4 linked regions of the Arabidopsis thaliana genome follow. The protein of the gene in region 1 interacts with the protein of each later gene in a biochemical or structural test. Each region holds a gene or a part of one and is shown in the gene's direction. Other genes may lie near its edges.

Region 1 (4,114 bases):
GGGCGCATTCCCTAGGGTGTAACCAAGAAAAAGGCTGGCTTGGGCCCTCATGATCGTTTTTCTCTATGACTCATTCTCAAGCTGGGGACAGTTAGGAGAGAACCCTTGGAAAGAAGTGGAAGGTTCGGTTCATCGCAAACGACATCGTTTGAAGAAGACAACACTAGAGTAAGCCTGAAAAAAGTATAGTGTTACTAAAGATTATTTTGTCTCAGAACTGTACCATCAATTTAGTAAGCTTTTTCCTTTTCCTTTCATAAACAGATGATGTTTCAGATAAAATTTAAATATATTATCAGTACAGTAAGATTACATACTATATTAGTATCACTATTCTGCTATTCACTAGATTTCTTTTTCTTTTTCAACAAAATATGAATAAAATAAAGGCAAAAGCGTGTTAAATATAAATTCAATAAGTGACTACTCGTTGGAAGATCATATCTGCTTTGATGGGTCTATTTGTGGGGCAAATCCACTATCCAGTTTTCCTTTTGTGTTCAATGAACTATACAATTGTCAAAAAAAAAAAAACATGAGAATTAAAGAAAATCATCATGACCAATGAAGAGCAGGTCCCAACAATAATTCCGAATTATAGGCTCTGATTGTTATAGCAATCAAACAATATGCTTACAAATCACAAAACAAAATTAACGATATTTCCAAATATAGAGCTTTCCAGTTTGACTTAATAATGTTGTGTGAATATCCTCACATTTCCATTTTCGACTCTCTTTAGTAAATTTTGAAGTAGTAGAATGATGTAGAATGTTTTGTTTTATCAATCACACAGTTTTGTGAAATCACGATTTCCATCCACTATTCAAGAAAAACATCAAGTGGAAGAAATAATAAACCAAAACCATCGCAACAAAATGCATATCACGAGTATAGAATGAACAAACTACACTGTCAAATACTTAATTTAGGACTTAAACTTCGCTTTCAGACAACTTGGTTCGGAAACTTGACCATCCGTCATGTTGATATACACAATCCATCTCAAATGTAGTAGTGAATCACTATATCAGCATGTGTTATCAAACGCAAGTTGTCACTAAGATCGGAGCTTCTAGTTCAAAATGTTGATAAGTATTACGAAAGTACAATTGAATATACCAATTATACATCCAAACACGTCCATGCTTCTCCACTCGAGTTCTCTTTGGAAATCTATATAATCCGTCGGTTTGGTATTTTACTAGTTGTACGTAGTGTCTCCCCTCATATGTATTGAGTCTTTATAGTTTGTTGCCTCGTATACGATAGAAAGTAAAGGCTAAAAAACCATACTATTTCATAAAGGGTTTATTTAGTTAACTTTTAATCTAAACCATGTATCACTCCATTTTACGTATATTCGTTTTCACAAATAATCTACTAAATAATTTTGTAATGTGATAAAATTAAAGAATAAACACATGATACATAAACAGTCAGGACAAAAGTAAGCACTCATTTTCTTCTATTCATACTATAGTGAAACACTATTTTATTTTTATCCATATACTATAGTGACAAATTAATCTAATCATTAAATGTTATGAGGCTCAAAACAATTTGTTTTCTTATTTAACATGGCCGATCCCCTCATAAACCAATCAGATGGTGTGTTTTCCGGTCATACTCGTGTAGGACCCACTTCATTACAATGGCCCCACATGTCTCTCTATCTTTTTCTCCTCTTTATAAAATCAGCTCCTTTTCTTACACAGATTTAGAGAAACACAACATAAAACGTACTTCTTCTTCAAAACGCGAAACCACACTGTAAGTTACGTACACCACCACCTATCCTCACCATTCATCATCGACACGTGGCTGGTTTAACTCAAATCAACGGTGAATTCTTTTTGCTTTTTTATTTTAAATAATGAATGAAAAGATTCTTCTATAATTCCAGCGAAGAAGAAAGAAAAAAAAAAGCGTATTCCTCGTGAGCACTAACTTCTCACTCATTCTTCTTCTTCAGCTGAATCCAAATACCCATTTCCATTTTTAACCGTGGTTGGATTGTTTTGAGAGTTGAAGGAAGAAGATGACGTCTGACGGAGCAACGTCGACGTCAGCTGCAGCTGCAGCAGCAGCGATGGCGACGAGGAGGAAACCGTCGTGGAGAGAGAGGGAGAACAATCGGAGAAGAGAGCGGCGGAGAAGAGCTGTTGCGGCGAAGATTTATACTGGTCTTAGAGCTCAAGGTAACTACAATCTTCCAAAACATTGTGACAACAATGAGGTTCTTAAGGCTCTTTGTTCTGAAGCTGGTTGGGTTGTTGAAGAAGACGGAACTACTTATCGCAAGGTCAGTATCAAACGCATTTTTACTTAGATCTGATGTTATCTGATGATTTAGCTGTTGAATCTGAAGATTTGGATTTGAAATTGGTCAAATTGGGATTTTCTTGGCTATGAATTCGAGGTTTTTAGCTGAGGAAGCTCAGTTTTATTCTAAAATTGGATCGAGATTCCTTGCGGAGAAAGTGACCTTTAGGGTTCTTCTTACTAATTTGAGAACCGAATTAGCTTTACTTTCACTTGGTTACTATATTTAGATCTCTCCTTTAGCTTTTGATTGATTGTGACATTGTGATGTTTTTGGTATTGTTCTATGAGCAACAGGGACACAAGCCTCTACCTGGTGACATGGCTGGATCATCTTCTCGAGCAACTCCTTACTCTTCCCATAACCAAAGTCCTCTTTCTTCCACTTTTGATAGCCCCATCTTATCTTACCAAGTCAGTCCTTCCTCTTCTTCATTCCCGAGTCCTTCTCGAGTTGGTGATCCACACAATATCTCCACAATCTTCCCTTTCCTCAGGAATGGTGGTATTCCTTCATCGCTTCCTCCACTTAGAATCTCAAACAGTGCTCCTGTCACTCCACCAGTGTCATCCCCAACTTCTAGAAACCCCAAACCATTGCCTACTTGGGAATCTTTTACCAAACAATCCATGTCCATGGCTGCTAAACAGTCAATGACTTCTTTGAACTACCCGTTTTATGCGGTGTCTGCACCTGCCAGTCCTACTCATCATCGCCAGTTCCATGCTCCGGCTACTATACCTGAATGTGATGAGTCTGACTCTTCCACTGTTGATTCTGGTCATTGGATAAGCTTTCAAAAGTTTGCACAACAACAGCCATTCTCTGCCTCTATGGTGCCAACCTCGCCTACCTTCAATCTCGTGAAACCTGCACCACAGCAATTGTCTCCAAACACAGCAGCAATCCAAGAGATTGGTCAAAGCTCCGAGTTTAAGTTTGAGAACAGCCAAGTTAAGCCATGGGAAGGGGAGAGGATCCATGATGTGGCTATGGAGGATCTAGAGCTCACGCTTGGAAATGGTAAAGCTCATAGTTGAGATGAAGTATACATGAACCTGTTATGTCATGTCGGAAGGAAGGATTGGAGAATGAGAATTAGTGTGTTGTTCATTCAGTTCATGGTTTTGGTTCTTGTTCTAGAATCGATATTCATTGTACCAGTGAGTTTGTTTCACAACGCATTATTTGTAGATAGAATGTTTAAGATGTATGTTTCTATTATCATTCCTTTTAGGTCTTGAAAACATTACAAATATATTACATGATTAAGTGGCTTGAAATGTAAATTATATATCGGATGATGAAACAGAGAAAAACAAGTGAGGCTAAAACAAAGACTTGGGATGTAATAACAAGATCAGAGAGGTTAAGAAAGAAAAAAAAGACTTGCGATTTTAGCCATAAGATACACAAAAATTCATAATACAAAGAGGAAAGTAGAAGGCATGAAGCAGTAAACATTGGAAAAGGGAGAAATATATTAGAATCACAAATGTCAAGAAACTCGGAAAGTTTTTTTTAGCCTATCTGCTTTTCAGGTGAATCATTCAGAACCATCGGGGAAGCTATCAAGCGCGTCTTGCTTACCGTTAACGTAGAACTCAACGACGGCTTGCATTCTATTGAGCTTATCTGGATGGTAATTCACATGAACAATCACTGGTTTCACTTTCTTCTTCAGTTCATGATTCTTTCTTACAGTCTTGAAAAGGACCTTACTGTTCATAAACTCATACATATCCATGACTCTCTTGGATGCATGTAGCGCAGTGTACTCAGGATGTG
Region 2 (4,413 bases), on another chromosome or scaffold:
AAGTATACATCTCCCATTTTTGTGGCCGTCGAATTTTCGTATTACATAATTACATTCAATAAAAATTCGGATTTGCAACTTGGTACTAAAATATTATGGCAAGGAGTGATAATTCAATGTAATGATGAACTTGTAAAAAAAAAATTAAAAAAATTTCAAATCCAAAAGATACGAATCTAACCTGTAAACAAAACAAAATTACAAAGGATTACAAACTTGGTTCGACTCTCGAAATTAAGTAGCAAATTCTTGTACCTCATTTCAATTTCACGGTACAAATGTTATTTTTCTTTGAATATAATTTAATATTTCTTTAAAAAATATATCTATATTTTTAATGGATAAAAATTACTTCTTAGTAAATAAAAATAATACAAATGAAAACAGTAAGATATCTACTTACCGTTTTACTAATGGTTAAACAGAAAACGGGACATTGTACGTGGAAAAAAAACATACTTAAGCAGTTTTGTTTATGATTAAAGAAAGACCATGCATTTTCAAAGTGGTTATGTAGACAAAAACCTTTTCGAGTTTCATTCCATATGTTTGATTAAACAGCCTGTTTAACACAACTTTATTATTATATCTAACGTAAATCATAAACTTTCCACAAAGTGAAAATTTCACACTTGTACAAATTGTCATTCAAAATTCCTACCTATATAAATAAATTATAGCACAACATTGACAAAAGAGAAGAAATTAAAGTAGTCTCGTGTCTCTTCTTCTTCCTTTTCTTCCGGCCTCGTGAAAACCAAATTGATTTCATCCTTTTTACTTGTTGACATTTACATACATACACATGTTCACATAAATAGATATAGTTGTATATGACTTGTGTCTATCAATCCAAAATCTTCATTATCTACTATACCAAATTCTCATACAAATATCTCTTAATCTCTTTTCACCACCTACGATATTGACATATATAACGTACAATTAATTTCATCAAAACTTAATGTGGCTGTATGACTTGTGTCTATCAAATCCAAAAATCTTCATTATCTTGTATACCAAATTCTCATACAAATATCTCTATATTTCTTTTCACCACCTACGATAACGACATATGTAACGTACAATTAATTCCATCTAAAACTATGTTTACTATAAACTCAAATTGTGGTCCATTAACACTAATCGCGAACCTTACCCGAATAAAACGTTCAACATCATGTATTCATATATGTTTATGTAACGTAATACATATAAACGCATATAAATCTATATATGGAGAAGTCGCTAACATCATGAATGACGTAGACCATCATGTAGTTTGACAATGGCCAAAGACCCACTGGTTCAATCCAAAACAGCAATTTTTTCTTTTCTTCTATATCTTAAAAAAAAAAACTATTCGTTTTGATAAAAAAACAACCAAAACAGCAAATCATGACGCAGAGAAAATCTCGTTCGTCAAAAGACCCTTTCATTAATTTCTATTATTAACAAAGCCTATGCAATACACATAAATGCAATAGCCACTATTCAATTCTTAAAATTATCGTAGCAATAAATCAAAAGTGAGAGAGGGAGATATCATATCATATATCATTATCATGTTATCATGCATGTCCCCATTATTCTTTATTTTTTAATAATAACATAAACCAATAAATTATTAAACCCAATAATATTTTTTTTGTTTGTGTTATTAGGGTTTTTGAAAGAAGCAAGCCCACATTGAATGCCACGCGGTTTTGTATGGAGGGTAGAGACTTTTCCTTTTGCCACACAGCTGACTTTGGAGGCTTTACCTCCACTTTTGTAGTTAATGCTTTACACATTTTTTATATACTTTTATTTATTATCTATACAATTTGAGAGACCCAAGAGTCCAAGACCAAGAGGGGTCAGCAAATTTCTCTTTCTCCTTTTATATATATATATAGAAGAAGAAGTGGACATAGACCTTTGTCGCCAAGCTTAACCATTAGATCCATTTCAGAGCTAAGCGTACTAATTAGTGTACTAAGGGTAGTGTGACTCATTACCACCTAAAGTAGTTTCAATTTTCTTCTATTTTTCTTGGCAAAGAGTTATAGTGGGAAACAAAGGGAGTGGTTAATAAAGAATTAATTAGTTAATTAAGGGAGTTCAAGATCATAATGGTGAGGCCTCCTTGTTGTGACAAAGGAGGAGTGAAGAAAGGGCCATGGACTCCTGAAGAAGATATCATTTTAGTCACTTACATCCAAGAACATGGTCCTGGTAATTGGAGAGCTGTTCCTACCAATACTGGTATGTATAATCTTCATTCATCATCTCTCCTCTCTACCTCTCTATAGATTTGTATGTAGATATTATTTGGATTTAATCTATGAGAGTGAGAGATAGACAAGGAATCAAATTGGTTTGGATTGAAATTTGTGTTCTCCAAATTGGTTTTGATCTTCATTTGGTTCTTCTTTAGGTCTTTAAGATTGTGGAATCAGCTTAATGAAAACATATGTAGAAATTAGGGTTTTGTTTATTGACCATGAAATTAAGATCTAATGCATGAGATCTTGTTATTTATATATTTTCTCATCGGTTCTCAATATTTGTTCGTTCTTATAAATTTTCAGGGCTGCTTAGATGCAGCAAGAGTTGTAGACTTAGATGGACAAACTATTTAAGGCCAGGAATCAAAAGAGGCAATTTCACAGAACATGAAGAAAAGATGATTGTTCATCTCCAAGCCCTCTTAGGAAATAGGTAAAAAATAATAATGACTTTTCAATTTCTCTAATTTTGTCTCTTCACACATTTTCTTTCGAAAATTAGAAGATTTGTTTTGATTTTTAATAGAGAGCATTTAATATTTGGTGTAGATGGGCTGCAATTGCGTCATATCTTCCACAAAGGACAGACAATGACATTAAGAACTATTGGAACACTCATTTGAAGAAGAAACTCAACAAAGTCAATCAAGATTCTCATCAAGAACTTGACCGTTCCTCGCTCTCATCTTCACCATCGTCTTCTTCTGCTAATTCCAACTCAAACATCTCAAGAGGCCAATGGGAAAGGCGACTTCAAACCGATATCCACTTGGCGAAAAAGGCTCTCTCTGAGGCTTTATCTCCTGCCGTTGCACCAATCATTACATCTACAGTGACAACAACGTCTTCCTCTGCTGAATCAAGACGCTCTACTTCCTCAGCTAGCGGGTTTCTTAGGACGCAAGAAACATCTACAACTTATGCCTCAAGCACCGAAAATATCGCGAAATTGCTCAAAGGGTGGGTGAAAAACTCGCCGAAGACTCAAAACTCCGCGGATCAAATCGCTTCTACAGAGGTAAAAGAAGTGATCAAGAGTGATGATGGGAAGGAGTGTGCAGGGGCATTTCAGTCATTTTCTGAGTTTGATCACTCATATCAACAGGCTGGTGTTTCACCTGATCATGAGACCAAACCAGACATAACTGGATGCTGCAGTAACCAAAGTCAATGGTCTTTGTTTGAGAAGTGGTTGTTTGAGGATTCTGGTGGACAGATTGGTGATATTCTATTGGATGAAAACACTAATTTCTTCTGAAGAGTTTGCTTTAATCACATGGTTCTAATTTTAGGATCCTCATCTCTATTTTTTTTTTTGGGTTTTCCAAATTAACTCGCTTAGATTATCGTGAGATAAATCAGTAATAATTTTATTTATTTTCCCTCTTTAATTTACAATTAATGATGGGGTTGTTTTATATATGGCCCTGTGAATTCTGAAGGGGCCTGAAAAATGTCCACCCAATGATTTTAGTAGTATTGGTGTAAAATCCTATATCTATTTTTTATTTATTAAAATGTTGTTATTGCTTGATTTTTCTTTTGCTTTGTAACTTGTAAGTATGATTTACTTTTGAGATGTTAACCTAAAAGTAATTCTGTTACAAATTAAACATACACTGACAAAAAAATTACATATATATATTGGAGAATGACCAAAAAATGCTCGCTCATATCCGGATTAATTAGTCCTAATGTGTAGTAGCCTAGTAAGTGTGGGATATAGAATTAATAATCAAATACTTACAACTTGCACTTAATTGTCAATTTATTTTCCTTAAATTAACCGTTAACTCACTAAGGAAAACACTTAACATTTATTTTAGAGTGTCAAATGGCGCCGCTCAATAAATGAAATCTTAGATTTAAAGATAGCCTTACTATTGGTGAATTTGAAAGACCTACTAATAAAGAAAATAGTACTAGTAAAGAAAAATTAACGAAATATTTATTGCATGAAATAAATAGGGCCGACAAGGTTTAAAGAAACTAATTATAAAAAGATAAATATAAATTTTAAAAACGGGATGGATTGGCACTATAAATATTGAAAGTGATGAAGAATTAAAGTTTGACTTTCTTTCTTGTGACCTTGTGAGTTGTGTGACTTACATCACATAGTTACTAAGTATGAAGAAGTCAA
Region 3 (4,727 bases), on another chromosome or scaffold:
TATCCAGAATCGGCGAAGTTTTTTTAAGCGAGAGAGCTTTTAAAAGATTGTGTAATCTCCAATTCCTCAGGGTGTTTAAGACTGGATATGATGAAAAAAACAGAGTGCGCATACCGGAGAACATGGAGTTTCCACCTCGTCTAAGGTTACTACAGTGGGAAGCATATCCGAGGAGAAGTCTTTCTCTTAAACTTAACCTGGAATATCTTGTCGAACTTGATATGGAAGGTAGCCTGCTCGAGAAGCTATGGGATGGAACTCAGGTTAGTTATCATAAATTCATATCTTTAATGATGTTATACATATTTTCTCTCTATTCTGATGTTTCTACTCTAACATCTGGTTTACATTCAGCCCCTTGCAAATCTCAAGAAGATGTCTTTGTCAAGTTCATGGTATTTAAAGAAACTTCCGGATCTGTCAAATGCTACAAATCTCGAAGAATTGGATCTGAGAGCTTGCCAGAATTTAGTAGAGCTTCCTTCCTCCTTTTCTTATCTGCATAAGCTAAAGTATTTGAATATGATGGGATGCAGAAGGCTAAAAGAAGTTCCACCTCATATCAACTTGAAGTCTCTTGAATTGGTCAACATGTATGGATGCTCAAGATTAAAAAGCTTTCCAGATATTTCTACAAACATCAGTTCACTCGACATATCATACACTGATGTGGAAGAACTACCTGAATCAATGACGATGTGGTCTCGCCTACGTACTCTCGAAATATACAAAAGTAGAAACCTCAAGATAGTAACACATGTGCCCCTAAACCTAACATATCTAGACCTCAGCGAGACTAGAATTGAGAAGATTCCAGATGACATCAAAAATGTTCATGGGCTGCAAATTTTATTTCTAGGTGGCTGCAGAAAACTCGCATCATTGCCAGAGCTTCCTGGTTCGCTCTTGTACTTATCAGCAAACGAGTGTGAATCACTTGAGAGCGTATCTTGCCCTTTTAATACTTCATACATGGAACTCAGCTTCACCAACTGCTTCAAACTAAACCAAGAAGCACGCAGAGGAATTATTCAACAATCATTTTCTCATGGGTGGGCATCCTTACCTGGAAGAGAGTTGCCCACTGACTTATACCACCGATCTACCGGACATTCCATCACCGTTCGTCTCGAGGGCAAGACTCCTTTTTCTGCATTCTTTGGATTTAAGGTTTTCCTCGTGATTTCCCCTAACCATGATGCTGAAGAAACTAGCAATTCTCCCTTATTTTGTCCTCGCATTGGCAAAATCGGTTGCTCCGATGACGAAACACCTATTTATATTATCCCCAAACCTCGAGCAGAACATCTAGTTATGTTTCACTCTGACTTGCATAACAAGGAAAAATGTCATGAAGTAGGCAACGAGATACTGTTTGAATTCAGCAACATATCCGACACCTATGAGATTATTGAGTGTGGTGTCAGATTCTATACAGATGAACAGGTGAAATCAGTGAAAGGAGAAATGAATATGAAATAGACCAAGTTTGTGAAGATGAAAACGATTGGAGCTATGAGTTTGGACCCGTGGAAGCATTGGAATGCTCTAAAAATAATGGACATAATGATAGCCTAATCTGTACTTCGAACGAAGACAAGATCGAAGCCAACAAATACACAGATTGTTGGAGTTGGCTCATCATCTGTTTTGATGTCTCCCATATTGTGAGAAGCATCGGAAGTTTAGTTTGGGGAGGAAGATGAGAGAAGCAAGAAGGAGAATATCAAAGTGGAGAAGTCGAACGAATTTGCAAGTGAGGAAAGAATATCTGTTTATACTTTACAATGACTTGTTTGGCTGCTTCACTGAGTTGGATATGATGAGTAGTAGCATCATACTGTTTGAATTCGGATGCAGCAAATATTACTGAAATGCAGTGTACGGATCGTGAAAACTGACAAAATTGATAGTAGCAACAACAGTGAATTAATTTGGGCCTGAAACTATCCGTTTTAAATGGGCTTTTGAGCCTTTCACATTATCTATGTAATTTTCGATTTTATCTTCCTTTTCTTTTCACCTTCTCGACGAACACACCTACACAAAAATCAATCACAGTCTCTGTCTCACTCGCCGGAGTTTCGGTCACTGCGCCATCTCCGGGGTCGAGTTCGTCGTACTTCATCGAACTATGAACTCTCATGATATCGATGATCAGTTAGAAGCAGATGTATACAGTAACTTGCCTTCTCGAAATGATTCTTCAACAGGGAGGAGAAATCGAAACTCGTGTAGATCGAAACACTCAGAGACTGAGCAACGAAGAAGAAGCAAAATCAATGAAAGGTAAATAATAAGTGTTCAAAGTTTGAATTTTTATCAGATTTTCTAAAAAGGGTAACAAGAAAGTTTCGTAATTTGTGATTGTTGGTTGGTGGATACAGATTTCAGAGTTTAATGGATATTATACCTCAGAATCAGAATGATCAGAAACGAGATAAAGCTTCTTTCTTGTTGGAGGTTAGTAAAATTTATAGTTTTGAACAGAACATGTGTTTCAGAGAATCAGAATGATGTTTGCTTTTATATGTTGTCTCAGGTTATAGAGTATATTCACTTTCTTCAAGAAAAAGTTCACATGTATGAAGATTCTCACCAAATGTGGTATCAATCCCCAACCAAATTGATTCCTTGGGTATATTCCTTCTCCTATCTTTGGTTGGTTTTCTGTTATATTGAATCGTTTTTGTTACATTTTTTTAGAGAAACATGGTTATTGTGTTAAGTGTTTCATCTTTCTTGGTATTTTTGACAACTGTTTCATGTAACTTTGATGCAGAGAAATAGTCATGGGTCTGTTGCGGAGGAAAATGACCATCCTCAAATCGTTAAAAGCTTTTCAAGTAATGATAAAGTTGCTGCTTCTTCGGGTTTTCTCTTGGATACGTACAATTCAGTAAATCCTGATATTGACTCAGCAGTTAGCACCAAGATTCCTGAACACAGTCCTGTTTCAGCAGTTTCATCGTATCTACGTACCGAGCCTTCGCTGCAGTTTGTTCAGCATGACTTTTGGCAACCAAAAACAAGTTGTGGAACAATTAACTGTTTTACAAATGAATTGTTAACATCTGACGAAAAAACATCAGCCAGCTTGTCCACTGTCTGCTCACAAAGGTAAGACATATGTAGAGCAAAATAAAGCTTTTTTTGTTCAGTAATTAATTCATTTTTTTGGTAGAAAGTTTGGGTTGGTATATAGTTTCTCACGGATGTACACTCATTTCCTTCCTGTCTGGCTCTCCTTAAACAGTGGCTTACCTTTTTTGGATACTAAGAGAGAATGATATAATACAAGGTTCCAATGATGCCTCAGCTATTTGCGGAGACTTCTTGTTTGCCTTGGCTATGAAGTTCTGTAGGATAGAGTATGAGATAAATGCTGTAAACTTGGTAATTGTTAGAGGAAAAGATTTTGCATAACCATAATCCAAAGTTTCTCTTTTGAATAGTGCTTCTCTCTCCTAAATAGGTAGTCATTCAAACTGAAGATCCTATCTGCTTCTGTATTTGGAACAGACTCAGGGTTCTAAAAACGGATAACTGGAGGAAATAAAGATGGAGAGATTTGATTGAAAACTCTTGTTTGGTTTGATTGTGAACAGGGTACTTAACACTCTAACTGAAGCACTTAAGTCATCGGGTGTTAACATGTCAGAGACCATGATATCTGTGCAGTTAAGCCTTCGGAAAAGAGAAGATCGCGAGTATTCTGTTGCTGCGTTTGCTTCTGAGGTATGCCTGTAACATTTTTACAGTGGAAAAGAAAAAGAAGTCTACTACTCTGCAAGTAATTCTTATAAAAACATTTCTATGTATTTTAATTTGTATTTTGATGCTATGTATCTTTTTCATTAGGATAATGGTAATAGCATCGCTGATGAAGAAGGGGACTCTCCTACTGAAACTAGAAGCTTCTGCAATGATATTGATCATTCCCAGAAGAGAATAAGACGATAAGATCTGGTTTTCTATTTTCTATGTTATGACAACTGTTTGATAATTTTGTTACTTTCGGTGAGTCAGGATCAGTAGGTGTAGATACTACTTTTATCGTGCTGCAACTATTTTAAATGATATAGTAAAAACTAAGTAGAATGATGTAACAAGTTTCGCAAATCTATAACAAGAGTTTGCTCCATTTAATGGTACTTTAAGTATATGGTCTCTTAGATATATCACTTCTTGCCCTTCTATTTCTCACACTATTAACCGGGAAATTATTTCGTGCTTGTTGACATGTCTGTATCAAGTAATGCGTTTGATTTGCAGAAAGGAGTCCTTGTTTTCTTGTGTCTCAAGCTTGATTTGAGCTAGAGTATCTAGATCTTTAGATTCAAGAACAGATGCAATATTCTGTAGAAGTTGAAAACTCATCTTTATTCTTTAACCTTATGTAAATATGACTGTCTATACAACAGATAGTTCATCTCTCGACTAAATGTTTGGTATATATATGTATATATTATGATACTCTTGTTCGATTAAGGAGGCTGTTTGTTTGCTGAAGGAGATGAAGCAGGAGGAGGGCCAGGTTTGTTTGGTGGTGGTAGGAATGGGAATGGAGGAAATGGAAAGATCGACGGAGGTGGAGGAGGAGGAGGAGGAGGTGGTGGTGGTGGATTTAGGCCTGGAAAGATCGGTGGCAGTGGAGGAAAGAGAGACCATGGTGGAGGAGGAGTGGGAAGAGGAGGACGAGGCTGAAATGGGTTTGGAGGGAATAT
Region 4 (5,185 bases), about 19 Mb from region 1:
TTGACCCCATGGCTTGAATGAGTCATGTTTCCTCACTAATGCTTTTACTTGCCTCAACTTATTTTTTTCCATCAGTACAGTAACTTGTTTCCTCGCCTTTTCCGTTTCTTTGGCCACAATTTCTTCTGAAACATTCTCAGCTTCTGTATTGATCGTCTTGTCAGTTGCATTTTTTTTATTCTTTTTCTGCAAAAAACTGTTGATCCTGACCTGATCCAGTAACAAAATACACAAACCATCAAACCAATATACACTTCATACCCCATGGGGACAAGGCAATATGTATCAATGACACATTCCTAGATTCACACATCATGAAATAGCATCAAAAGCAACAAGAGAAATTAAAACCCACCTCCTGCTCAACAGCTTCCCCGATCTGAGTAGCAGCATTCACTAGCTTAACAATGCCAACGCCTTCCGCATTAGTCATCAACAATCCCATCATCTTATGCATAGTGATAACAGCCATCTTATCAGCCGGTAACTGCTCCATAAAAGGCGCATACGGAATCTTCCCTTTCTTGATTTTAAAAGTATCAAGATCATCTTGAATAGCATTACGCACAGGCTCAAACCAGCCTAGAAACAAAGACTTCATATAAGGTAAATTCGGTGCAAGCTTCTGCTCACACATATCAGCTAGAATCTCTCTACACTCTCTCGCTGCTCTTTCCCATTCTTCAGTCTCCATTTTCACCTGTCTCTGCTTCAGCATATAGAACTTCTGTGCTCCCATTCCCGCAATGACTCTCTTTGGCGGTATAGCTGCAAGCCTAGCTTTTTTACGGATTCTCTCAGTTTCTTTCTCCATTTCCGTTATCAATTCATTAACTTCATCAGACCCAGAAGACTCATCTTCAGGATCAGTCGAATCAATAGCTTGCGCAGCTGTAGCATACCCTTCAAACACATAACATTGACCATGACGAAACGAGCTTAATCCACCCATTTCGTTGACTGGATTTATAGATAAACCATTTCTAACGCCACTGAGATTAACAGAAGACAGAATCCCACGGACTCTATTCACTGGATAATGAGTACCGGAGGAGCTAGAATCAGATAAAAACTTAACCTTTCTCAATGAAGCTCTTCCCAGAATGTTCCTCCACATTTTTTGAATCGTTTTTGTGATCGCCACGAAATGGTAATAGTGGCTGCTTCAGATAGTTTACTGCCTCCACGAGCACAATCTCGGGCTATGTAGCTACTTGATTTTGTAGAGTTATTAATACAAACATAGAAATCAAAGAGTTCAGATTCGAAGAACAGATTAAAAACAAGACTTGGGTGAAGAGAAGAGAGATCTGGAGAAAAGAGAAGGCGCCGTGAAGTACAAACACAGCCGCCGAAATAAACCCTTCATAAAACCTTTGGTTTCTGCTTCACATTTCATGGATCTTGTCAAACCCGACCCGCTTATCAGATCCGTTACGCTCTTATTTGGGCTCAAAGCCCATATTCTGGCACGAGTTATACATTACCATGATAAATATATACCTAATTAACATTACAACAACAAATCAGAGTGGCGCAGCGGAAGCGTGGTGGGCCCATAACCCACAGGTCCCAGGATCGAAACCTGGCTCTGATAGTATTGTTACTCTTTTTTTTTTTTTTGTAACTTTTGGGCTTAGCCCATGTCTGATAAATTCGAATAAGGTATAGTATTGTTTTGGAAACATAGGCATATGTTACTTCTTTTTTTCCTTTGTAAAGTTTGGGTTTGGCCCAAGTCTGATAATTCCATTCGGCCCTTTATAGTATTGTTTTGGAAACATAGCCATATGTCACCGTTCGATTAGAAACAAACATAGTACGTGAAAATTAACAGATCAGAAAGAGACCACGTGCATCACGTGACCACCTTAAATCTGATAGGTTAGAATCTCGTCTTATCACGTGAATCCCACGTGTCATCACAAGCTACGGTTCATTTAGAGGCCTAACCGGGTAATCACATCAAGTCGTACACGTCTCCAAATCACGAAACTGACGGACAAAAGCTCAAGTAAACTCACGTAGTCTCTCCCACAGCTAACTAGAACTCAGCCGAGTCACGAGGCACCCAAAAAACAAAAAACAAATAAGCAACAAAAAAGAGCTCGTCGACGGCAAAAGTTGAAAATAAAACAATAAACAGTCGAAATTCTCCGGCGAAGATGAGAACCGGAAAAGGAAATCAAGAGGAAGAAGATTACGGAGAAGAAGACTTTAACTCTAAACGTGAAGGTCCTTCTTCCAACACTACTGTTCATAGCAACAGAGGTAAATTGTTCGATTTGGGAGACTTTTGAATTTTTCTTAGTTGTTGTTTCGTCAATTTGTGTTTTGGTTGGAGCTATTGTTGATATGTATCGAGATGGATTTGAATAGTTTGGGATTAGATTTTTCTAAGTTTTGTCTCTGTGTGATTCGGTGTTTGATTTTGAAAGCAGATTCAAAGGAAAATGATAAAGCTAGTGCGATACGTTCTAAACATTCGGTCACTGAGCAACGTAGAAGAAGCAAAATCAATGAAAGGTATGTTGATATAAAGTGAGGATTTCAAACTTTTTGGATTGTTGTTTTTGTGAGAACTTGAGATTAGGAGTAAACGCGACATTCTTTGTTTTGATATCTGAATCAAAATTCAATTACTTTGCTAACAAAATCATAAGAATACTTAGGACTTGTGTTTGGGAATTTTGCTCTGCTTCAGTTTTGTGGTGTTTGATATAGGACTTAGTTACATTATAATTATTGTTCTTGTTCTGAGTGCTGAATTCATAAATCTCTTCTCAGATTTCAGATATTGAGAGAACTAATTCCCAACAGTGAACAAAAACGTGACACTGCTTCATTCCTTTTAGAGGTATGTCATGGTATTTGATGATGCTTTGTGCGAATATCCTGTCTTTTAGATGTTGTTAGCTTAATACCGCTATTCCATTCTAGGTGATAGATTATGTTCAGTATTTACAAGAGAAGGTGCAAAAGTATGAAGGATCGTATCCAGGTTGGAGTCAGGAACCAACAAAGTTGACGCCATGGGTAAAGTTTTGAGCTTCTTCTTATGTCGGTTTCTCAATGAGTTTCTGTGATTGTAGATTCTGAGTATGTTTTTGCACCCGCAAGGCTTTCTTTGTGTGACTTTTAGCTGAAGGTTATGTTTTCTTGATTGGAACAGAGGAATAATCATTGGCGAGTTCAAAGTTTGGGGAACCACCCAGTAGCTATAAATAATGGATCTGGTCCAGGGATACCTTTTCCTGGAAAGTTTGAAGACAACACTGTGACTTCGACACCTGCAATTATTGCAGAACCGCAAATCCCGATTGAATCTGACAAAGCAAGAGCTATAACCGGCATATCGATTGAAAGTCAACCTGAGTTAGACGACAAAGGATTACCACCACTACAACCAATTCTTCCAATGGTACAAGGCGAACAAGCTAATGAATGTCCTGCAACTAGTGATGGGCTAGGCCAAAGTAATGACCTGGTTATTGAAGGTGGAACCATTAGCATCTCTAGTGCCTACTCGCATGAGTGAGTCTGATCTTCTAAGTCTTCCTCGTTTCTGTTACTGTGCTGCCATTGATGTGTTCGCTTCTACCCTTTTTTTTTAACTGCATTGTGTACTAATCTTGTGAGACATTAATTCTGAAATGGCCAGGTTATTGAGCTCATTAACACAAGCACTCCAGAATGCAGGCATTGATCTGTCGCAAGCAAAGCTTTCTGTGCAGATCGATCTTGGGAAGCGAGCCAATCAAGGTCTAACTCATGAAGAGCCATCAAGTAAGGTAAATAGTTGGTTCGAAATGCTTCATACTTAGTTTTGTAACAATAGCCATATATCATGATGTTGATACATTTTTCTATACAGAATCCATTATCATATGATACGCAAGGAAGGGATTCAAGCGTTGAGGAAGAATCTGAACATTCTCACAAGCGGATGAAAACACTGTGACATTTCTCTCTCAGGCTCCACGGCGCTGGAATATATAAATGTATTGACAGATTCCTTGTATCGTGTACATTGTTCGGCTTCTAGGGGTTCCTATAGTACTCGTTAAGATAAACTTTGGTTAGTAGATTCTGCGTTTTTTTGTGGTTCTGAGTTTGTATCATCTTCTGCATCATTCATGTAACCTATCAAATATGATCTCTTGTGGTTTCAAGTTATTGCATCATTTTTTTCCGATTTGATCTTCCTTTTTTGTTGAGAGAGCGAGATCAAAGGCTAGCAATCTCTTAACCTTAAAGTGAAAGACTATTATAAAATCATTTGATGCTAAACCAAAGATGATGTGATGCTTTTATCTATTGTTGTGATGACCCATAACTTTGAGAAGAAAAGCATAATCAAAGGCAGTCTCTTCGCATTGAGCATAGCGACCACCTTCACCAAAATGCCCTCCGTTCATATTTGTTTTCAGAATCACAGCTCGGGAGCAGTCGTGGCACGTACTATCCCTTATCTTAGCCACCCATTTTGCACCTTCCCATACTCCAACCCTGACCCAATAACACACGCAAACTATGATCCAAAGATTCTTACTTAAAACAAAAAAGAGATATGGGTTTAAGGGTTCTTTTGTGAAGCTAGCTTGCCTTGAGTCATGAAACGAAGTAGTGACAAGCATGGACGGATAGCAAACATCTTTTCGTATCTTATCATATGGAGAATAGCTAAGGATCGATCCGAAGTCAGTTTGGTTGTCTGGGTTCCCGAATTCTTCATGGTCCAGGAGTGTGAGAGGTAAATTTGGATCCGATAATGTGTTTAATACATCTACAAAAGGAACCTGCCCAAATGGTACACACCTTAATGATTTGAGCTTTTGATTATTCTGGACACAACTTAATGCATTTGCTATGCCATAATATTCTTACCTTCAAAATCACAGCTTGAAATAGACTCGGGTGCATATTCATAGCTGCAGCTGGAAGAATAGCTCCTGCACTGTACCCAACAGCAGCAAGATGATGTCTATGCACATAGCCTTTTTCGACTAGATATTTAGCACTGTATATGAAATCTTGGATTGAATTTTGTTTCAACGATCTAGTTCCGGATTTGTGCCATGAAAACTCCCCACTGCCTCCTCCCCTGAGGCCAAAATAAAACTCTTATAGAAGCACATTCAAATCAACCACTATTATACCAAGTGATGTCAACTTGAAGCAAATG

Evidence for each region.
Region 2: the proteins of BES1 (region 1) and MYB30 form a complex in vitro, tested with the Arabidopsis thaliana proteins (one study listed by BioGRID).
Region 3: the proteins of BES1 (region 1) and BIM3 form a complex in vitro, tested with the Arabidopsis thaliana proteins (one study listed by BioGRID).
Region 4: the proteins of BES1 (region 1) and BIM2 form a complex in vitro, tested with the Arabidopsis thaliana proteins (one study listed by BioGRID).

The regions. Positions count from the first base shown.
Region 1 is NC_003070.9:6,686,800-6,690,913, forward strand, and holds BES1 (Brassinosteroid signaling positive regulator (BZR1) family protein), read left to right. Parts: upstream 1-1,735; 5' UTR 1,736-1,880; coding exon 1,881-1,939; exon of another isoform or gene 1,940-2,034; coding exon 2,035-2,305; intron 2,306-2,622; coding exon 2,623-3,366; 3' UTR 3,367-3,612; downstream 3,613-4,114. Other genes in the region: RRA3 (Nucleotide-diphospho-sugar transferase family protein), read right to left, coding at 3,873-4,114. UniProt on the Arabidopsis thaliana protein: Positive regulator of brassinosteroid (BR) signaling. Transcription factor that activates target gene expression by binding specifically to the DNA sequence 5'-CANNTG-3'(E box) through its N-terminal domain.
Region 2 is NC_003074.8:10,909,329-10,913,741, forward strand, and holds MYB30 (myb domain protein 30), read left to right. Parts: upstream 1-1,803; 5' UTR 1,804-2,114; coding exon 2,115-2,247; exon of another isoform or gene 2,248-2,573; coding exon 2,574-2,703; intron 2,704-2,819; coding exon 2,820-3,528; 3' UTR 3,529-3,862; downstream 3,863-4,413.
Region 3 is NC_003076.8:15,556,949-15,561,675, forward strand, and holds BIM3 (BES1-interacting Myc-like protein 3), read left to right. Parts: upstream 1-1,952; 5' UTR 1,953-2,134; coding exon 2,135-2,289; intron 2,290-2,387; coding exon 2,388-2,463; intron 2,464-2,542; coding exon 2,543-2,638; intron 2,639-2,782; coding exon 2,783-3,120; intron 3,121-3,608; coding exon 3,609-3,738; intron 3,739-3,861; coding exon 3,862-3,963; 3' UTR 3,964-4,178; downstream 4,179-4,727. Other genes in the region: AT5G38850 (Disease resistance protein (TIR-NBS-LRR class)), read left to right, coding at 1-263, 355-1,482.
Region 4 is NC_003070.9:25,939,639-25,944,823, forward strand, and holds BIM2 (BES1-interacting Myc-like protein 2), read left to right. Parts: upstream 1-1,990; 5' UTR 1,991-2,165; coding exon 2,166-2,271; intron 2,272-2,441; coding exon 2,442-2,526; intron 2,527-2,787; coding exon 2,788-2,857; intron 2,858-2,940; coding exon 2,941-3,036; intron 3,037-3,172; coding exon 3,173-3,534; intron 3,535-3,661; coding exon 3,662-3,791; intron 3,792-3,874; coding exon 3,875-3,961; 3' UTR 3,962-4,310; coding exon of another isoform or gene 4,311-4,509; 3' UTR 4,510-4,605; downstream 4,606-5,185. Other genes in the region: MGP3 (male gametophyte defective 3), read right to left, coding at 1-210, 356-1,117; AT1G69020 (Prolyl oligopeptidase family protein), read right to left, coding at 4,311-4,509, 4,606-4,799, 4,888-5,104. UniProt on the Arabidopsis thaliana protein: Positive brassinosteroid-signaling protein.